2 linked regions of the Struthio camelus genome follow. The protein of the gene in region 1 purifies or fractionates together with the protein of each later gene. This does not show direct contact. Links are inferred from orthologs where the notes say so. Each region holds a gene or a part of one and is shown in the gene's direction. Other genes may lie near its edges.

Region 1 (7,271 bases):
AGAACAACAGGTTCAGCTTTAGGAAAGTATCTATCTGCTGTTGATATTTCGATCTTATCAGTAGCACACATCTTTACAAGCCTGTGAACACTGAATTCACACAAGCAGAACTGATGACATAAGCTGTCCTCTACAGGTGGTTATGAGCTAATTTTACCAAGACACAGCTGGGTGTCACCCACACACTGAATCCAGCAAAGCTTACATTAATAAAGCACTGACACTTGGCTTTTTTAAAAAAATCATGCACATGAATCTCTCTTATGCTAGAATATCATCCTAGGCATAGAAATTATTGTTGTCCGCTTTAGGTTCCTTGCACGATGCTTGTTTTTTTGGTTCGGTCCAGGATACAGATGGCCTTATTCATTTTAATTAAAAACTGCTGTGAAAAAAGGAATGACATACTATACAGAGCTTTCTTCTTACACTTCAGATAGTTCATTGCAAAAGAAATTTGGGAAGGAGAAATAAAATTTGGGAAAAGTTAATGGGTTGTTACATTCATGGCAAATGAAAACTTGTGATTTTTGACACGCACATTTTGAACTGAGCTTTTCTTAGCATCCAACTATTACAGTTCTTGCAAAACTTACTATCTTTGCATCAGGCTAAGTGTATGTGTCGTGGAAAAGACACTGGATATATTTAAAGCTTCGCAGGTCATGTAGCTAGAAACAGCAACAGTATTCTAAGACCTTCCCTGCATTGTTGTCCTCTTTCCTTAAAAAATATGCTTTTTGCAAGACCATGTGATTTTGCAATATCTGATGTAAGCATTGGCTTTAATTCAGTAAAGTTGTTGCCGTGAAGGGCTCGTGAGAAGGCTTAAGCGAGAGGAGGAGTTTTAACAGCTCAAAAGTTGTTTTGCCAAGGAGCAGCTGTAGATGTGGCCAACACATACGGACACAGACCCCAAACATTCCTTTGGCAGACAGGTATAAAAAGGATGCATTTCTACCATTCCATAGGATAACAAGGGTTATTTCAGTATGTTATTAAACTAGCTGTAATTCAAAGAGGTTAATCAGAGGCTGCACTTGATAATCTGTATTTATGCAGTTCATCTTGCTCCAAATATCTCAAATTCGGGATTTTTAATAGCTTTTGAAAAACTGTATTTTGACCACTCTGAGCTGTGAGAAAACACATAAATCATTTTAAATAACAGAGAATAAAAGCCCAACCTTCTGCTACACGCTGTAGAAAACATCAAACAATTACAGTGACTTTTATTCATTATTCAAATAAATTGATCGGGAATTTTACGACTCCTTGCCTGCAAAAAGAGGTGTATTTAGTTCTTCAGAAAGCACTTTCTAGGTTTACGTTCTTATGCATTATCAAGTAAACAATCACGTTCTTTTGTGCTATCTTGTCAAGGGATTTAGGCTTGACACTTGACACTTTGTAAAAGTCAGGTACGTGCAGCCACAAGTGACATGTGGAGCAAGCTTCACTTTGGAGTTCAGAACCCTTTGCCCCTGAGAATTTATCTATATAGACAAATAAAGGAATTTTATGCCTAAATTATACGTTAGCTTATCAACAAGAAATTGCATAAGTCCCCAACCGTATAAGAACACTTTTTTTTCCTAGGAGTATTAATATGAATTTACACAGAATAGGATCTAACCTTATAATATACATTAGAAAGAATTTGAGACTGGATTTAACCCCCCCCAAAAAAAAAATTGACAAATTTTCTTGGATGTGTATATATAATTGAAGTGAATTTAATAGTTATGCTTGTGTAACAACGTTGGATTTGGTTCATTATTGCACATTTAAAGCTTTCAGTAGCGCAAACTGCAAAATTACAAGTACCCAGCAGGTGTCACCTTCATTCATATTGTATATATGATAATCAAGTTTAGAATTTTTTTATTTAGAATTTAAATTCACAGCAGGAGTCTTAAACACTGGAACATGTTTTCAGAAGAGCATGTAAAACGTATGAATTTGATCTGATACACTTTAGTAACACTAGGATTTCTGAAACACTTGTAATCTGGAAATGTTTATGCACCAAATAATTTACACATAGCCAGGACTGTACTTACACGCCTCAATAACATGTGTAAGATATGCCTGTAAATGCACATATTTAAACCTGAAAATCCATTTAACGGATTCGATTTAATTCGTATGTCCTTAACGCCGTATAAATATATACTACAACATTGCCTTTGATTCTGAGGCCTGTATTGCAAAAATAGATGCAAGCTCCTCTTTACTCACGGAGATCTTAAGCGAGGTTGGAAGTGCTGCAGGAGGGCACGTAATTCCACTTCCGCAGACAAGTGCTTTAAGTTGCTGACTTTTTGAAACTGCACCTCACAGAAATGAATTTTCATATGGATTATGCTGAATTATCAAGCAAACATCACAGATCCACTTGATTTACATTGCTTTTCAACGCAAATCAAATGTTTTTATTAATATTTAGCAGCTTTATACTTAGCTAAGGTGTAAATTTACTCAGGAAAGGTTGAATCACTGTGATTCAGCCACCTTCAAGCAGAAGCAACATAAAGAAACATGCACTCTGCATTTTAAACCTCTAACCTCCAACTACTATTTGGCATTGGGATAGTTACTAGGTCAGAGTCATGCCTTTTAGATAGTGATTAAAAAATGCACTTTGTCCATGTAGCTGGATTTTGTAATACGATCCTGTAGCAATTTGGTAACGTCTCTGGTTTTGTTAGTGTGGCGCACTGCTTAGAAAAGTGCATGCGCCACACGGCTGGGCCTGATTCAAAATCCTTTGAAAATAATAGAAAGACTTCTAAGGGCTTAAGCCATGAGGCAGTCAGACGTGTGAAAAGGCCGAGCTATGACAGGTGAAGGTAAAAGTAGACATTTGCAACAAATCACACGGCGGCAGACGCCAAAAAGCATACAAGCCGATTTCAATTGCCGTCTGAAAACTGCTTTTAATTCACAAAACTCATTGGAAAATGCCACTTTTTTTTCCCCAAAGGGATTAATATTGATTACACATTTGCACTTACATTACTTTTTTTTTATTAAATTTATTTAAATCAAGTCAGCTTGAGGCTTCCGAAAGTTAAGGTACGGTATAAGCTGTACTTCCGTGAGGATGCATGGGGAAGGAGACACGGTTTCAAAGAAAAATGCCTTTTTTTCCATATGATCTAGATATATGCTTATGCTTAGAATAAGACAGGGCTTTGTATCACATGTGAAAAAACAGGAAATTCTACGTAATCATTCCCTAATTAAAAGATCTTTATTTTTTCCAAGGTGAATTACTCACTTAAAAGCCAGGAAACGATTACGTTAAGGCTGACTACACCTAAACATTGGCAAGAAGGCGAAAACGCAGACGCGGGGAAATTTTACAAAGAAAGACGGTGCGCGCAAAGGCTTAGAGAGCAAATTACAGATTTCTGTCGCGAAAACAAAAATTGCCGGCTTGCTGCAGACGTCAGGCCGGCAGGACTGTGTCTCAGGCAGCCTGCTCGGGGGCTGGCAGAGGTTCACGGCCACCACAGCACCAACACGTGTTCTTGTTTGAAAAGGTTTCTTTGTTTTGAAGCAGTGTTTTCGCAAATGCGAGGAATGAATCCTGGCTCGTCCTCCACGTGACGACACGTGCTGTGTTTTGCGCAGGGACAGAGTGTTTTCTGGGGGGTCGGCAACCGGGAGAGCGGAGCCGGGCTGGCGCTGGCCTCGCAGGGCGCTAGGCGTCCACGCCGCCTGTACCTGAAACGCTGCCCAGACGACGCGGGTGCGTCTGAAACGGCCGTGCAGCGCCCGAGGGCAGACACCCTGCGGTGGGACGTGCGCAGAGCGGCTCCCTCGGGAGGCGGGTAGGAAGCGGAAGGGACAGGGAGAGCTTTGACGTCTGCCACCCGGGGATTAGCAGCGTGAACGCTTTTAGGATCGAGGCTGGGGCAGCGTTCAGAGCGGCAAGAGAGCAGCTGCCGAGGGCTCCCCTGTGGGAGCGGGGTTTACCCGAGCGGCAGGCCTGCGGCCAGCTCAGGCCGCCGGAGGGAGCGCGCGGAGCGGGCGGCCGCCAGCCGCGGGAGCTCCCTGACGGGGCGCACGCGGCGGCGGTTGCGGCGGCGGTTGCGGCGGCCGCGCGGGAAGGGACGGGGGAGGGGGGGAGGGGGGGGGGAGCGAACGCAGCGCCCACCGCCCCCTCCCGCCCGCGTGGAAGCCGGGGGCGGGGCCGCGCTTTGTGACGCGCGGGCGCGCGCGGCCCCGCCCTTCTCCCCCGCCCCGCCCCGCCCCCCGGCCCGGCTCGGGCCGAACCTGCTGAGGGAGCGGAGAGGGAAGATGGAGGCGGCGGCGCTGCGGGGGGCCTGGCCGGGCCGAGCGGCGGGAGCGAGGCGGTAGCGGCTCCGCCGGGTTTTCCCTTCCCCAGGCGCCGCTTGTGAAAGGCGGGAGGCGCAAGCCGCCTTCCCCCCCCCCCCTCCTCCCCGCCCCGCGCAAGGGGATGGCGGCGCCGGGCCCTCCGCAGCTGCCGTGGCTGCGGCTGGGCCCGCGGCTGCGGGCCGGGCTGGAGGTCGCGCTGCGGGTGCCCAGCCTGTTCCTCATCGACGCCATCTTCAACTCGTCCCCGCTGCCGGGGGGCTCCTTGAGCGCCGCGTTGCTGGGCGTGCTGCTGCGGCTGCTGGGTGAGCGACCTTCCCGTCCGGCGCCCGGGCGGCCCCCGCCGCCTCGCCTCCGGCCTTCCTGCCCGGCCCGGGCCGGTGCTGCTCCCCCCCCCCCCCCCCCCCCGTCACGGGGAGCCCGCGGGGCCGCTGCCGCCCCCCCCCCACCCCCCGCCGCTGGCCTTGTTTACGGCTGCAGGCAGGGGGTGGGCGCTGCTGCTGCTCTCTTCCGCTCCCTTTCCCGAGCGTCTTTTTTTTTTTTTATTATTACTTATTTATTTATCCCTGCTGTTACGGCCTGTCTCTCTCCTTCCCCCCCCCCCCCCCCTTTCCCCTATCTCTGACCCCCTTCTGGCTGTTTCCTTTCTGCTACTCTAGGCTCCCCCCCCCCCCCCCCCCCAGCCCCCTGCTCACTCGCTCCTCCTGGTGTGCTGCTCTGGTAGCTCATCTTCCCGCCCTCCCGTCGGGAGCCGGAGTGCTTGTTCTCCTCCTTTGCAGCCCTTGGCTGTCCCCTCCCCGGCGCCATGGCGGGGACCTGCTGGGCGCCCCCGGCTGTCCGCCCGGCCCGCTCCGGTGCCGTCCTTTCGTGCCTCCTGAGCGAGTTAACCCAGGGGAACTGCTCGAGCTGGCTGGGACGGCTCCCACGTACCGCCGTGATGCTGGTGGGCGGCCGAGGGGTGCCAGGGCGGCCGAAGTAGCGGACCCGAATCGGGTTTGGCGATGTTTAATGGAGCGGGATGGGTTTTGTGCCATGTGGCAGCTTTGCGTTGCTGTGACTTGCCGCTTCTCTACTGCGAGCGGAGGGGGTGGTGGCTGTAGTCTGGAGGTTTCCACCGTGCCTGTGGAAACCTTGTGACATCGTGATTGTAGACGTTAAAAAAAAAAAAAAAGCACTTGGATAGTGTGGTGTCTTCCCGAAATACGCTGCTGAAGCCCTTATTTTAGGAATGGCAGTTCAAAAACGCTCGAAACTTGAATCCCAAGTGGAATAGAACTGGAGGGGTCTCTTAAAACTGGATATTTTTGAACTTTTTTTTTTTTCTAATCCTGGGATGAAGGCTGAAAGTCGTTTGTATAAATCACTATGTGCTACTATTCTCAGTGTTACATACAGTGTAATGAGAGGTTCTTTATGCAACCCAAGCAAGGTTGGGTTCATTGGATTATAAACGACATTGCGTTAACAGCTAAACAAGTCGTGGTGAATTATACTGGAATCCTGAGTCAGGAAGGAAAGCAGAGGAACATGAAATACAGCTAGGATTTTTGCAGGCCCCTGATGTGTTGACGTTTTGTTGGATTTTATGAAAAATTATGATACTATGAAAAATCTGATATTATGGGAAGATTAGGAATGCAAGAAGGGAGGTGAACAGGAAAGAAGATGCACAGCGAGAAGTGCAGGGGTGACAGTACTGCAGTAGCTGGAGAGCAGAGGGGAAGAAGTGAAGGATAATCTGTAGTAAGATAGCAGATAACAGGAGAGTGAGGCAAGAAAATAACAAAGCAGGTAGTTCAGGTGTGCGCTTTCTTCTTTGGTAAAGGATGTCTGGGAAAGTTGCTGTCCTTATGAGAAGCGTAGGCCTGGAAGATTCTGACTTAGCTACTTTGTCATGTATTGCAGCTGGTACTGTTGGCTTCGTGACAGCGAAGAGGGAATTCTTCCTCTCTGTTTCCCATTTTCTAGTACTTTTGTTTTATACGTCTAGAGCTGTGAAGAATGCTTCTTGGTGATCAAAATATTCCTTTCTAAGGAAATGGACATTGCAGTGCCTTACTGAAATCATTTTCAGAGTCCCTTGTTGTATGATCCAGATGCTGTAGAAAGGGCCTTGAAATTAATCCCACATAAATTAGAATGGTGGATTTGTTATTGGATGATGTCTCTTAAGTGTATGATAATGGGATTAGATGATTAAGAAGTTCTTCAGGATTGTGTTTATGTGCTCACTTTTAATGCTAAATGGAGTTTTTTTTTTAAAGTTGCCTGCACAGTTCTCCAGCCCCCCCCCCCCCCACCCCATCACTTTCTATGTATGTAACTTCATTGGGTTATAAACAGCAACAAAATAAGTTCTAAAACTGTAACACAATTTTTTTCTCTCTAATGTTTTGATTAACTTTGCTTTACGTCTCCTACATGATGTTTACCTTTCATATCTTTGACTGCAGATTTTGTAAGTGATTACAGGAGAAGCACCACCTCAGAAATATAGAACAGTTGCATCAGAAAACAGTCCCTCCTCAGTGAGGACACTGATTTTCTGACAGAGTCACTATAAATACTGTACTTTACGGAAGGATGCAGAAACAAGCAGAATGTCTGGGGCTAGGAAGAAGAGTTATTTGGCAGTTCCACATAATTAAAATATTATCATGTAAAGGTAGTTATGCCCTGCAATTGACTGAAAAGAGAATTCTAGATAGTGTGCTACTGTAAGGATATTGGCAAATGGCAGGAGTTGAGGGAAAAAACATGAGAGAGAGAGATTCATTGTAATATAAGAAATATGTGTGGCTTGATTAAGTGCTCCTTTTGGAGGCGATACTAGATAAATGGTGATGGAATAATACAGATAGGAGTAGTAAGTTGCACAGGAAAAAGCAGTATATACGGAAACATGAAAAAAATCTTAGAGATACTGT
Region 2 (7,383 bases), about 150 Mb from region 1:
CTGGCTTCTAAGATTGTATCAGCAACTAACTCATTTTTTTTGACCCAGTGTAAATAGGGAGAAAAATAAAATGTCTAAGTATCTCACCTAGTTCCCTGAGTAAGAGACCCATGAAATAGTCTGGGTGAGATAACATGTTGTCAGATTTCAAAATGTCACAGTTTAGTACAGAAAGCATGAAAAAGGTGAAATTATTTATGTAACGAGTAACGATGCTGAGAACTTACAGAAATCTGCTGTCTTTGCTGCTGAATGAGACAAAAATAACTGTCATTAATCCTACAAAGATACAGGAGCACTTCTCTCCAGAAATAACAGTAAAGTATAAAATTTCATGCACTAACCAAAGCATATGGAGGCCTACCCCTTTTTAGGATTCTACAAGGAAATGCAAAGCATTATGACCTTTAAAGCAACAAAAACATAAAGAAGTATTTAACCTTTATTGTAAGCAAAAAATTTCAGAAAACTACATATAAGGCCAAAGCAACAAAACCATAAAGAAGCATTTAACCTTTAAGCATAAAGCTTCACAAAAAAATGTTAGGGCCAATTTCTCAACTAGTACAGATTCATATTGCTTCTAGTGGTTTCAGTGAAGCTACAGCAAGTTATACCATCTCAGAAGTTGGTCTCTGCTATCTGAAATAAGCCTGGAAGAAAGCAGGGCACTACCACATGCTATTACAAATATGAAAAAAAAAAATCTAATAAGTAGTAAAAAGATGCTGCAAGAAGAAGCAAGAGAGATATACCCATAAGGAAAAAAAGACACACGATAAAAAAATGCTTAAGAAGCCGTTTCAGGAAAGAAAACTAGTAGACACAGCACGAGGGAACGTGAACTCTGCCCAGACACTAAGAGTTGGGGAAAAAAATTTTAATACAGAAATGTATCTTTTCAAATAAAGTAGAGATGTAGCACAAGCAAGGATGAATTGTATTTCTTTTCCAGAAGCCAACTCCAAAAAGACATTTCTTACGAAGATGGGTCATTTTATCTCCGATCTGCAGTCCTGTTGATAAATCTTAAAGTGATTCAACATGAAGGAAAATTTCCCAGGGAATGAGTTTGAGCCCTTATTTAGAGTTGCCTAAGGTATTGCTTAGCAGTCCAGGGACACAGATAAATTGCCTGTGTCAATTCAAACCTTGTACGCAGTTGCCACGAAGAGAAATGTAATGTCTGCATGTGATTTCCTGAAACAAATCAAATGTGTCTGCAGAGGAACTCATAAAATGCTGACAATATATTAAGAGTGCTTTCTCTGAAAATGGTTAACTTAAACAGACCCAATGCAGGCCCACTGAGTCAGAAAACAAAATGAAGAAATGAATGGTGTAATGCAAAGTGCAATACTGCATTGCAATGTCAGTAGCTCATGGAACTAAGACACAAAACTATTTGCATAGACATAAGAATGCTTAGTGAAGCAGGAAGAAGGAAATGGTATATTCTTTCAAGATGAAAAACGGAAACTCTATATTAATTGGCACAACAGCATTTTGTTGTCCTGAGACAAAGCTAGAATTCTGGTGTGTTACATTTCACTGTAACTAAACCAAACTGGCAGTGTTTATTCAGAAGATAACTCTTCAGTCAACGTCTTGATCAACAATATAATTGCTGTAGAAACAACTGAAGGAAAATGGGTGAGATTTTTGAAAGGATAGACTGAAAGTTACTACTAGTGATATTTTATTTTACTTGAAGTTAGAAGGAAAAAAAAACTGTACTATAAAAATAAATTGAATATGCAGTTAATATACCCAAAATTCAAATTATCAGAGACATCTGAACTAACTAAAAGACACTATAAGAACTATATAGCACATACACTTAGACAATACAACGTCTTAAAAATCTGACAGAAGACTGCAAACAATTTTAACATATCAGACTAAAACCTATAGCTTTTTTAACACTCGATCATACTATGGAGATAAGACACCAATAGAAACTCATCATTTATGACACCACATATACAGATATACATGTTATATGGCAGTCCAATGATAAGGTCAGCAAGGCAGAACTGGTCTGTTCCCAAGCTAGTCATTATTAAGAGCAAAATATTCAACTCCTCTGTCACTCCAAACAACGGCACTAACAATTCCTCCATCACAAAGCAGACAAATATTCAGCCCAAGGGCACATTGCTCTGTGCGTTCAGCTATCCTAACTCTTTACATGCTAGCTGGAACTGACCAAACGATGAGAATGGATAAACTTATCCTAGACGAATTTTGCTCTTTACCATATACAGCGGGCACACCTCTTTCCTTATGTTTTATCGACGTTTGTTCCATTTAACACAGCAATGAGACCCAACAGAGTTGAACTTGGATCATTATTCTGCCCTCACGGTCAAGGCTAGCAAGCGCATGAAGATGCTTAAATCCTCAGTGTTATCGCTCGGGAAGCCATTGGGTCTTACATCCTTTCACACTATAAATAGAGTGCATCTCCTGTGAAAAAGAAAGACCTGCTGGCTCCAGTGATGCTATCTAAATGAACCACAAATCCAGTTACTCTTCCTGCATCTAAGCGCTAGTTTCCAAAGTGTCCTGGAGAACCAGTATTTTAAACCAAAACTTAGCAGCTGAGTCCTGCTACCTAGACAACTTGTCGTGCTAAATTCTAACATATACGTAGCACACCCGTCCTATCAGTTTCCAGACCCCCGCAGAATTCAGTGGGCGAACTTGTATCTAACCGTATTTTAACGACGCTATGAGGCCGGGCGCATCATGACTCAGATTTCACCAGTGACGTAAACCGTTCAGGTTATCAGCGTGCAGGGGTAAAAGTCAAGAGCTCGAGACCAAATGGGCCCTCTCTCCAGCCGGCCTCTTTCGCAGCTATCTGGGTTCGGCATGATCCTCTTAACGCTGTGATTGTATGATCAAGCGAGCGAGGAACGCCGAGCGCTTGAACTTCTGGAGAAGCCTGGGCAGTCAGTCGCCTTCGACTTCCCCCCTTGACTAAACGCCATCGCCCGAGGCGATCACCCATCCTGGCGAGCCTGGCAAGCCCCTGAGGGCCAGGCTGCCGAGGCCGCCGCCCCTGCTCCATTCGCACCGGCTGCGGTAGGCGGCAAGGTGACCCTCGTCGTCGTGGCGCCCCTTCCCCTTTCCCTCTTCCCCCCCCTCCCGCCGGCGAGCCGTTACAAACGGCCGGCGCGCTCCGTTGGCGCCGACCGTTGAGGGCGTGGCGCACGTGCGTCCGCCCCCTCCCCCGCCCCGAAGCGGCGCGCGCCACGCGCCACGCGCGCGTCCTCCTCCGCCGCCGCCGCCCCGCCCGCTATTGGCCGCACCGTCAGCTGGCGGCGGTGGCAGCGAGGGGCGGGGGGGGGGGGTGGTTGGTGCGCAGACAGCGAGAGAGAGGAAGGCGGGTGGTGTGTCCTCGACGTCATATCAGCCGCCCGGCTCTGATTGGCTGTCGCGCCTCACCCGACCGGGGGCCGGAGCCCGGGCTGGCGTGGCGGCTCCCGCGCTCTGCCCCTGCCCCTCCCCCGCCGCCGCCGCCCCGCCCGCCCAGCCCGGCCCGGCCCGGCCCGGCCCGGCCGAGGGGAGGGGGTGGCGGAGCAGCGGGGCCGTCTCTGCCTCTGGCTGTGGGTAGGTCGGCGGCGGATAACGTGACACCCGGGGCCGGAGGCTTATAAACCTTAGGCCGGGAGCGGGCCGGGGCCAGCGAGCCGAGAGCGCGGGGCGGGAGGGCGAGGGAGGCGGCAGGAGCGGCGGCCGTTCACCCTCCGCCCTTCTCCCCGCTGACGGAGCGGCCCCCTGAAGCGAGGCGAGGTGAGGCCCGGCCGCGGGTGCCCGCGGGACCCGCTCCTTGGGCAGGGACAGCGGCGGGAAGGCGGTGGGGTTGGGGGGAGGATGGTTTTACGCCTCGGAATTGGGGAAACCGCTTCCATTCCCCTCAGGAGAAAGGGGGCTGGGCGAGTCTGGCCGGGATCCTGGCCGGAGGGGGGGGGGGATGCTCCTGGAGGTCCCTGCGGTTGTGTGTTCACCCCGGTTATCTGGACAGCGGTTCCCCCCCTCCTCGGAGAAGCGGGGGTGCCAGGGGCAGCCCCGGCCTGCGCGGCCCCGGAGCCCGCAGCAGCTCTGCTGTGTCCGCTCGCACCGCTTCCGCCCGCATCTTACTTTCCTGTTCAGCACCTCCCTCCGCGGCCGTCTGTCGGGCTTGTAAGGCTGTTTGCCCGGTGCCTTTAAAGCTTCCACGTGGCTAGTGTTGTAGAAGTGCGTGTTGTTTTGTTTCTGGTCTGTACGTCAGCACTGTATAACGGCTTGGGCTTGAACCGCCCCGTCGTTTTGGAGTCGTAACAGGCTGTCGCTGTGCGTGTGTTTCAGGACCCGGGTGAAGCCAATGCCCAGGTTAGAGAACTGCACCTGGAGCTGTTCCTGCGCTGCCAGGGGAAGGCATAAAAACCACCTGGGGGACACTGCTGCTGGGCTGGCCGCCAAGGTGGGCGAGATGCTGAGCTCCTCTGTCTCAAACTCCTCGCTGGCTTTGGTGGGTCATGGAGCACGGAGCCCCAGCACCTCCAGTGTCAGCAGTAATTCCAGTAGCAGCAGTAGCACCTTGAACTTGAGTCAACACCTTGTGCAGAGGAGTGTGGTCCTCTTTGTTGTTGGTGCTTTCATGGCATTGGTGCTGAACTTGCTGCAGATCCAGAGAAATGTGACTCTATTCCCTGAAGAAGTCATTTCCACGATCTTCCCCTCTGCCTGGTGGGTGCCCCCTTGCTGTGGGACGGCTGCAGGTGAGTCCCTTTCGTGACCGGTTTTCCTTCCCCTCCTGTGGGAAGGCAAGGCAGCAGCGCTGAATGTTTGGCCTGTGTGTGTTGGAGCGTTGCGCTTACAGCATTTGGTGTGTAGAATGTAAGTGATGTAAATTCTGGTTTTTTTGGACCTAGATTGATTCCAGCTTTATCCAGGAACCAACACACCTTTTATACTTGTCTGCACGTTTTCTGATCTTAGTTGAGTTCAGTAATACACCTGAAGCGCATCTCTTTTTTGGGGAAGTGCGCTGTAATTTTGAAGCATGAAGCAGCACGTGTACCCCCACCCAGTAATGCGGGGCCAGCAGAAGGCGTGTATGTAAACCTCGGCCTGCTGCAAAAAAAGGCGGCGGCTGTGCGCCCTCCGCCGCAGCCCCGGCTCCCTCTCCCCCGCCGCCACCGCCGGGCCCGGCCGGGCCGCTCGGAGCCGGCGCAGCGGCCGCGGTGCGCGTCACCTCTACTCGCGCTCTGATTGGCTCCCACCGGAACTGGTGAGTCGCCGCGGGCTCTCCCCATTGGCTGGCGCGGCCAACATGCCACGGGCCGAAAACAAGGAAGTCACGTGCGGTGGCGGGCTGGGAGCAGTGCGGGGGCGCTGGGTCCCGCGCCCCCCCCCCCCCTCCGCGGGGCACCGCCGCTGCCAGCGCCCGCGGGTGCACGCAGAGCCACGGCGCAAAACACCCGGTGGAAATGAGAGGCCTTTGTGTGCTGTAATCGAAACAGCAGCGGGCGTTTATCTGATTGACTAGTGTTAAAATCAGAATCCTGATTTTTATCAAACGTCTCGTATGCATGTACTACTTTAGCGAAGGGTTAAGGGAATAAATATGTCAGTGGCAGTGCAAGTATTGTCTTGTGCTGCTTGTAGTAAGAAAGTGGAAATGAATAATCTTTTGCTAAAAGGAATGATAACTCATGTAGTGAAAAGAGATTGCCGTAAAATGGGCTCTAGTGAGAGTTCCAATGATCCTGTTCCAACAGGAGTAAAACTTTGTCATTTAGTTGTTACCGTAAGGTAAAAATCCTGCTCGACAATCCTGGCAACTGGCATGAGAAAATGAAAACTCCTCGTAATCCAGTCACTTGTACTTTTTCATAGAATGATGTGTCTTGTAGTGTTCTTCACATAAAATCGTTCCTTTTAGAAGTTAAGGGAAAAAATAGGGTAAGGAAACAAGCAAATATACTATAGTTAAAGTAGCATGTCTAAACCTGGGGCTTGTGACCTTGTAAGGAATTGCAAGCCTTAGAAGAGTAAAACTCACCTAGTGTTTGTGCTAGTAGCAAGATCATGCTAACCTTTTTTTCTTATAACCTTGTTTGCAGACTGAGAAAATGCTCTGTTAGGGCAAAACTTCCTCTGCTTAATAATGAGTAATTTTTTTTCACTGGCATGAATGACTGCTAGCAGTCACTTCCTTAAATTCTGTCCAGCCTCTATTTGATATCAAAACGCAGTTGATTTGAAGAGGTTAGCCTCATGATCCTGTAGAAGGAAAGAAAGCAACTCCTGCCAAGAAACTTTTAAGTCCAGCAAACGTTACTTCAGGGACTGGTTGACAGCTAATGAATCAAGTTTGTAAAACTTGCTGTTCTGCACATGTACCTTAATCTTGCAGCATAACTGTTTTACAGGTTCAAGAAGAATGTTACTTTAAAACGTCTTTTTCCAAAAAAAAAAAAAAGGGAGGGGGGGTGTTTGGGGAGGGTGTTAATAACTGACTTCATCTGCCTTACAGTAGCATGATGGGCTCTTGACTACTTAGGTGGCTTTGTCAATCACTTATTTGCCAAGCTAATATTTAGCAGCATTGGAATGATCATTGTGTAATGGCTAATACTAGTACTCTTAATTGATTCCGTTGCAGCTGTTGTTGGCCTGCTGTATCCCTGCATTGACAGCCACCTTGGAGAACCGCACAAGTTCAAGAGAGAGTGGGCCAGTGTAATGCGATGCATAGCAGTTTTCGTTGGTATTAATCATGCAAGTGCTGTATCCTTGAACGCATTTATACTGTTAGTTGCTGTGCTTAGTGTTTCATTGTCATGAAACAGTCTCTTCCATCTATGTTTTGGGGTCTTACAAAGGTAAGGATGGTGCTACTGGCCGAGACATAGAGGGACATAAAGTATTGTGTTGGAAGTTTTACAGAAGTTTGAGAGCACCATAGTCCATTTAATAATTAGATTTTGGGTTGGGGGAGGAGTAGGCAGGAGTAGGCATGCTATAATATCCGATACAACTGTGAGTGTAACAGTGTAATTTGTGTTATTAGGTGTAGACAGCACACAGATTAAAAAACTGAATATATTAACAAGAGAGATGCACTCAGCTGTTGTGTAAAAGTGTTGGTTTTGTGTTGAATAGTAATGATTTGAGCAGAAAACCTAAATCAGCAGGTTACCTGGGACAAAAATCCGTGAGAGTTAAATATAATAGCGTATAGTATAGGTAGCGAAAGGCTACTCAGTGTGAGAAGAATTGATGTTGTCTTTGCACTCACACTCCAGATAAAGTCAGCAAGAGCAGCGATGGCTCAGCAGGCCTGAAAACCAGATCCTAAGCGTATCGCATTGAGATATACAATCTTGC

Evidence for each region. Proteins that work in one complex are often made in the same cells at the same time.
Region 2: the proteins of RNF139 (region 1) and INSIG1 purify together in Homo sapiens (affinity purification with western blotting, with the first as the bait; 3 studies listed by BioGRID). This does not show direct contact. The link is inferred for Struthio camelus from reciprocal best matches to the Homo sapiens genes RNF139 and INSIG1.

Annotation. Positions count from the first base shown.
Region 1 is NC_090943.1:160,678,994-160,686,264, forward strand, and holds the start of RNF139 (E3 ubiquitin-protein ligase RNF139), read left to right. Parts: upstream 1-4,265; 5' UTR 4,266-4,308; coding exon of another isoform or gene 4,309-4,317; 5' UTR 4,318-4,468; coding exon 4,469-4,649; intron 4,650-5,302; exon of another isoform or gene 5,303-7,271. UniProt on the Homo sapiens protein: E3-ubiquitin ligase; acts as a negative regulator of cell proliferation through mechanisms involving G2/M arrest and cell death.
Region 2 is NC_090943.1:9,905,563-9,912,945, forward strand, and holds the start of INSIG1 (insulin-induced gene 1 protein), read left to right. Parts: upstream 1-4,372; coding exon 4,373-4,769; intron 4,770-6,658; coding exon 6,659-6,783; intron 6,784-7,383. UniProt on the Homo sapiens protein: Oxysterol-binding protein that mediates feedback control of cholesterol synthesis by controlling both endoplasmic reticulum to Golgi transport of SCAP and degradation of HMGCR.